Arabidopsis thaliana: one gene and its partner. The protein of the gene in region 2 purifies or fractionates together with the protein of the main gene of each other region. This does not show direct contact. Each region holds a gene or a part of one and is shown on either strand. Other genes may lie near its edges. The genes, in order: SUMO3 and PGY2.

Region 1 (3,495 bases), on a different chromosome or scaffold from region 2:
TACAATTATGAGTCAAAACATAATTCACAATTCTCAGATAACTTTTGTTTGCTTCAAATTTAAGCCAATTAAAAGTCACGCTTACACAATAATCACTACCTCATAGACAAGCTAACCAGAATAGAAATTGGGAATAACGCAGACAAACTCAAAACCCTAGAATTGAAGCAATCAGAAGCTATAAAGATCCTAATCACACTCAAAACTTTAACCAGACAACGAATCGTTACACAATGCAAGAAATAGAAGTCGAGAGAGTGAGTGAGAAATAGAAAACCTGTCCCTTGACTTTGAGATTGATGTGAGCTCCTTGGTCAGGCTTCTTGTCTTCTTCCGGAGTAGCAGACATCTTACTTTATTATCAGATTATACGGTCGGCGATTGGAAACAAGAACTTCGATCTGCGATATAAGCGAAGCCCTAAGAGAGATTCGCGGGATTGCAGAACTTGAGGGTTTGAGGGAGAGAGAGAGACTCGGCAGAGAATAAAAAAGACTGAAACCACTATCTTTGGTCGCATCGGATTCTTGTTTATCTAACGGTTCATAATCATTGATCTATATCATTCGACGGCTGTGAGTGAGTATAATCTCTAACTTAAAATGATGTCGTTTTAGCATTCTTAATGGGCTCAAATGGGCTGGTTACTTCTGTGTCTACCCAAGAATTTTAAAATGTGAAAATCTCAGCTTTCGAGTAGATTTGTTTGAGTTGGGAAAAGTGAAGATGTTCAAAGTGAACCGTTTGATTTTGATCAAACCAGTAAAGATTTCAATTGTTTAATATGGTTTTGTTGTGTGACCTTTTACAATTAGCCAACTTGAGTTTTAGAGGTTTTGATGAGTTGTTTATTCACGGTTGTAAAATTAACAAAGTACAAAGATTCTAAAAATCCGTAACCAGATACCATTAATATCATAATTCATAAGATCCAATCACTCATGAGTCATTTACACACACGATAACCGACCATGATTTAAACTTCAAGTAATTTTGCTTGAAGAAAGTAGTCAAATATCACAAAGCCAGCCAAATTATTCCTAATTAAAGCCCATTATGATCGAAAAGCATATAAGACCACTGACGCTGATTTGCTCGTAGACCACCACTCATCGCCCGGCACGCATCTATCACATCTCCATCTTCCATATCAAGCTTTAAAATTGGAGAATCTTGGTTTAGTAAATGATACACTTTTGACAAACATATAAATTGTAAAAGGGAAATGAAAAAGAGAGTGATTTGCCTCATCTGGAGTCTCCAGGCCACCTATACGAGCTCCATTAAAAATGAAAGCGAATGCGTCTAATTTCAAACCTCGGCGGTCGCAGTAAACATACATGAGCTTTTTAAGTGGAGCGCTTTTTTTGTTCTTAAATAAGACTTCGTCTCCATCCTTAGTATCACCAATCAAGAAAAAAGATTTTAATCACTCTATACTTTAGATCATCACAGTTTGGAAAAGAGTATCATCAAAGTTTTCATATCAAGAAACTGTATATATAGTATTATCAACCAAGCAGCAACGACAGAAAATTTCAAGGAGATTAAAGAGGGAACACAGTGAAAAAACCTGGCTCTTGACCTTGAGAATGACATGAGCTTCTTGTTCTTGGTCGATGGGCTTGTCATCTTGAGGGTTAGACATCTTTCCTTTTATCAGATTTTATGAAACAAAAACTCCAGTCTGTGAGAAATACGAAGGCCTGATAGAGAGATTCACAATACAGTATTGCAAAATAAGGGGTTGACTTTTGAGAAAGAGAGACTTGTCAAAAAAGTGACTGAAACCAGTTCTTGATCGCACTCACTTTTGATCTACAGATTCTTGTGGTGATATATCGAACGGCTCATAATCATTGTAGCTTATCATCCGACGGCTAGGAGAGCGTGGAATTCGTACATGAAAACACTGCCGTTTAATCAAGCATTCGTAATGGGCTATTGGGCTGGTTTAAGATCAAATATGCTCATATGTGGGCTTAATTACTTCTACACAGTATATAAAGTTGGAACCCATTTTCGTGAACCGACCAAATAGTTTTTAGAAAATTTATAAATCATATTTAAAAATAAAATCTAATTACCACGGTAATCTAATAATTTCAAAAAAAATACAACAGTTAGAAACTTTTAAAAATCTTAGCAAACATAACTTTTGTGGTATTTTAAAAAGAAACTCAAAATTATGATATTATTTGACAAAGTTTAGGGCAAGCTCTCTTTATAAAATTTATATATTTCTTGATGTTCTAAACTTCTAATGCATGCATGGTTATTATTTAATATTAAAAAATAATGTACGTCGACCGTCATAGTGTGTAAATGGTTAGTCTATGTTTCGTGACGACTTCTATTTCGGCCCGACATAATATATTTCCAGTTTTTAATTTGATAAACTAATAGGCATTGTATCGTAACGTAAAGATCAGGGACAATGCTAACATTCCTATCTAAAACTCAATTTGTTGGACAGCATCCAAGTGACCTACCACATTGAATTCTTTCTCTTGGTTGATAAGAAACTAATAATGATGATGTTATATTTATACGAATATATTAGTTAACGTTTATATTTAGAAATTCGTCATAAACTCATAATAGTTACAAATAAGTCAATCTGAAGGTGACACACCTCTCTGGATATTATAATGTTTTCAATTTTCATATGGACTTGTCATTGTGTTTCATTTTCAATTTCATGTACCGACTTAAGACTTAAGGGCCTTGTCGAAACATACCGTACGATGTCGACAACCTCCATAGATACATTATTAAATTATTGTTACTTTCATAATCCAAAAATTAAATTGTTATACTAAAGTATATGTAAACCAGCATACATTGATACATATAAGATTACCACCTAGTGGACAAGTTGATACACAAACAAAAACATGTATATAATCATCAAATACAATATTACCAAATGATGATGTCTATTATTTTCTCTTTTGATAGTGGAGTTATTATGATGTCTACTCTTAATTAGTTTCATTATTCAGGTCTCAATCACCGAAGATAAAACTATATTTCAAACTGTAGTAGTAATTACCGTATGTGTATTAACATTCTATGCCTATATGTACATAACCGTTAATATTCGGCCACAATTATTAAATTCAAATAAATCTAAAAAGCATCTTTCACCAAGTAATTAGTAAAACTAGCCGTAAATGTCATCCAAAATTCTTGGTTTTACATCAGAAGGAAACATTAATTGCTTAGCGATAGAGTTCTATTTGTATAGGACAACTAAACTCTACAAATATCGTTTTTTGTTTATCCATGGACGGAGATGGACCATTTAGATTAATTCATTATTATACTACTGGAAAATAATTTGAGGTGTTTGCTTAGCTTAGCTAACCTTAAAATGTTCATTTTTCCTCCGCACATCTAAACGCGTTCATTAGCCCAATTTGCTAAGTCAAAATATTAGTTACAACCAACTTGTGAATCAGTCAATGTTACTATCAAATATTTCATATAAAT
Region 2 (4,080 bases):
TGGATTGATCAACTTTACAAAATCTCTGGCAAATATTTGGTAGATTTTTATTTTATTTTCATTGCTTTAACTTATGAATAAATCTATATTTTGAAAAATAAAAAGCTTGTGTACTTCTCGAATGTTTATGGTCTTAATATTGCTGCTTGCTTCGTTTTGGTCGCATGATTTTAAATTTACTAGGTTATAAATCCACGCGTAATTTTTTTATCAAAATTGATTCTTAACTCTATTGATTTTTATAATTTTTAATATGGTATATTTAAAATAAAATGTTTACTTTATTAGAAATTTTAATACTATAATCAATAATATATACTTTTCACCAAATTATATTACGCGTGGGTTCAAAACCAAGTGTTAATTACTTTGAAAAGCAAATTTTATATAATAAAATTTTAAAGTATGATATACTCATAACTTGATTTTTTTTTTTTTGCCGGCTACTCATAACTTGATTTGGTGCTATTTATGACAATTTCTCTAATTTATTCGACTTTTGTTATTTTGTTCTTTAAAGCAATGATAAATTATTATTTGGTCTGGCCCGGAACGGACTGCTTTCAAATGGACCGGGCCGCCAGCCCACATACTAACTCATTTAGATATAAGTTTCTTCTAACCTCTCTTTCTCTAAAAAGCTGTCGGCGAGTGGGAGAAGCGCAGAGAGAGCAAACAAAGAGCAAACTTGAATTATTTCTCCGTTGGCTTTGTTTGAAAATATATAAAAAAAACAATTAACGGGCCATGAGCTTGTTGCAAATAATCTATTTATTTTTCATTTTAGGATTTTTGTTTCTCGACACGAGTTGAGCTGATTTTGATAAGCCCACATGACATTGTTTTAGAGTTTCTGTTTTTCTTCTTTATACTTTTTAAAATGCGGCCAGTGAATAATTTTCTAAGGTTTATGCTTTAATACAAGTTAAATAATTTTTTTGTAAATAATTTTTTGTTGGAATGTCAAATTTATTCAACAAAAGAAAATGATTACAAAGAGTTTTGAAAGGTAAAAAATGGAGAAAATAAACGTGAAAAGTAGAAACAAAAATGATGAAATTGGCGCCACTTACATCATTATAGAAAGTTCAAAAGGCCTAATTCTGACACAATATTATTAACGGGTCATGGGCTTAATGACAATAATAAACTTTTCTCACTTTTGAGTTTTAATAAGCCCACATTTGCTTTAGGGTTTCTGCGTCTCTATCTTTAAATTGCTTCCGACGATTCATAAACTAGGGTTTCTGCCTTTAGCCGTCGTGAGAGAGAGAGCAAATCGAAGAGAGAGCAAAGAGAAAATAATATGTTGTTTGCGTTTGGTACGGTGACTCGATCTGTGGCTAATTCAGTGGTGGTTTGCTACGGCTTTCTTTCGACAATGGTGTTTTCTTTCGACCTAAACTTGATAGACCGAACCAAACTGAACCAATTTTTATATATATTTACTCAATTAAATCCTAAACTCCTCTATTTGATCTGAACCCGATCAACCCGAATACATAAATATCTAATCTTATCCATCTGAAAGGATACTAAACTCTCTAATTCGAATTACCCGAATCCAGAAAAAGCCGAATAGCATGCATTCTATTGGTACTTGATTATATTAATTGGCATATATATGACCTGTTATTGCCAATAATATATTTTGGGTGTTTCCTGGGCTTCAGTTTTATTGGGCTAGGAATGGGTGTACTTTTAAACCCACTTCTGATTAGTCTCTTAGTAAAACCCACTTTTAAACCCACTTCTGACCCACTTCTGACGCCGTCATTTTTCTTGAGAAGGAGAGAGAGCACCACTTCCGTCATTCCAGCCCAATATTTTTAACGGGCCATGGGCTTATTGTAAATAATGTATTTTTCTCATTTTTGGTTTTCTTTATGGGCACGATTTTAGTGGGCTGAATTTTGATAAAGGCCCACATATGAAAGATATTTAGGGTTTTTTCTCTTGATACCTTTTAAAACGCCGTCGAGAAATCTCCCTCTAGGGTTTCTTTGATCAAACCAGAGAGCCGTCAGGGAGAGCAAAACAAAGATCGGAGAAGATGAAGACGATTCTTTCTTCCGAAACGATGGACATCCCCGACAGTGTTACCATCAAGGTTCACGCTAAAGTGATCGAAGTCGAAGGACCTCGCGGGAAGCTTGTTCGCGATTTCAAGCATCTCAACCTCGATTTCCAGCTGATCAAGGATCCAGAGACTGGAAAGAAGAAGCTTAAGATCGATTCGTGGTTTGGAACACGCAAAACCAGCGCCTCCATCAGAACCGCTCTTAGCCACGTCGATAACTTGATCTCCGGTGTTACCAGAGGTTTCCGTTACAAGATGAGGTTCGTGTACGCCCATTTTCCCATCAACGCCTCCATCGGCGGTGACGGAAAGTCTATCGAGATCCGTAACTTCCTTGGCGAGAAGAAGGTTTGTTTTATCTTCTTCATCTCTGATTTGATTCTCATAGATTCGTGTAGATCTCGGAATGAAATAGACTGACACTAGATTCAACTTTATGATTGGACGATGATGATTGATTTCTGAGTTTGCGAGCACTGAACTTACATAGAAATGTGTTTATTGGAATAATAGGTGAGGAAGGTAGAGATGTTGGATGGTGTAACCATTGTTCGATCTGAGAAGGTGAAGGATGAGATTGTTCTTGACGGTAACGACATCGAGCTTGTTTCAAGGTCATGCGCTTTGATCAACCAGGTACTCTCTCTAACTAGCTGGTATCAAAGAGATTTAGGTGTTATCTAGCCAAATTTGCATTTTCTTGGGACTAAAAGGTTGAGAGATTGTGTTAGATAGGTGACACGGTTCAGTTCTAGGAATCAGATTTTGCATAAATGAAGTGAAAATCGATTTGTATTATCTCTATAGGTCTCTAATAGACGATTAGATTACTCGCTAAGTAAACTTTGCCAATTTTGCCTATTGTTTGGCTTCTTAAGCTTTTCAGCATTGTGTATGAAAGTGTTTTTTTGGTTGATGTTTGAGTTTAGGATCACATTTTTGCATAGTGAAATCAAAAGGATCATTTCAGTGATTGATTTACGTGTTCAAGTCTTTGTTGTAATCTTTTATGTTGTGATTGTTGTGCAGAAATGTCACGTGAAGAAGAAGGATATCAGGAAGTTTCTTGATGGTATCTATGTTAGCGAGAAAAGCAAGATCGTAGAGGAAGAATGAATGCCCATATCATCGTCTTAGCTCCTATTTCTTGTCTTTTGAATGTTAGTTTCGTTTTATGGACCAAATCCACCGGTGTTGCAAAACTCTGGCTATCCCTTGTTCCCTTTTTGTGTTCGAGATTTTATTTACTTATGCACAAGTTTTGGAGACGAGCTATCATTTTCACCTTTGCTTAATTAAATCATATCGTGTGAATTTGGGATTGTTCTGGATTTGGCATTGTGGGTTGTGCATTCAAAATTGATACTTCAGTCACTAAACTAAAATCAATTTCTCGCAACGCTGTGATCAAACATAAAGATAACTTGAGACAACGAAAGCGAGCTTTGCAATTTGAGAAAAGCTACGAGACGCCCTGATGGTCAGGTGATCAATATTAGTGCAGAATGATTCTGCTTTCCAGAAGTCCTCTTTCAACCATCGTTTATCATATTGGAAGCACCGAGGATTCATGAGACAACTTATAATTTAATCATGAAATGTGATTTCGACATCAGAAAGGACTAGTATGTTAACATTGTGCTCAGTGGCGGATCAACCATGTTTCCAGGAATTGCTGATCGGATAACCAAAGAGATCACGGGGTTGGCACCTAGCAGCAGGTGGTTGCACCACCTGAGAAGAATATTGGAGGATCCATCTTGGCTTCTCTTAGCACATTCCAACAGGTACCGTAAACTCTTTAACCGTGTGATGATGATTCAAGTTATTCACACAAAGTACTGATGTTTGGTGTGGATATCAAAGGCAGATTACGAGGGATCAGGGCCAGCCATTTTTCACAGAAAATGCTTTTAGACAACCTCTTTATGTAGCTTGTTGATTGATGAAATTGGCTTAAGATTAATATTTTTAGTCTTTAGTCGTGGCTTGTTTTAAGT

Evidence for each region.
Region 1: the proteins of PGY2 (region 2) and SUMO3 purify together in Arabidopsis thaliana (affinity purification with western blotting, with the first as the bait; one study listed by BioGRID). This does not show direct contact.

The regions. Positions count from the first base shown.
Region 1 is NC_003076.8:22,384,424-22,387,918, forward strand, and holds SUMO3 (small ubiquitin-like modifier 3), read right to left. Parts: upstream 1,783-3,495; 5' UTR 1,649-1,782; coding exon 1,574-1,648; intron 1,397-1,573; coding exon 1,247-1,396; coding exon of another isoform or gene 1,156-1,246; coding exon 1,045-1,155; 3' UTR 834-1,044; downstream 1-833. Other genes in the region: SUMO2 (small ubiquitin-like modifier 2), read right to left, coding at 278-349. UniProt on the Arabidopsis thaliana protein: Ubiquitin-like protein which can be covalently attached to target lysines as a monomer. Does not seem to be involved in protein degradation and may function as an antagonist of ubiquitin in the degradation process.
Region 2 is NC_003070.9:12,021,307-12,025,386, forward strand, and holds PGY2 (Ribosomal protein L6 family), read left to right. Parts: upstream 1-1,918; 5' UTR 1,919-2,053; coding exon 2,054-2,428; intron 2,429-2,593; coding exon 2,594-2,716; intron 2,717-3,109; coding exon 3,110-3,196; 3' UTR 3,197-3,477; downstream 3,478-4,080.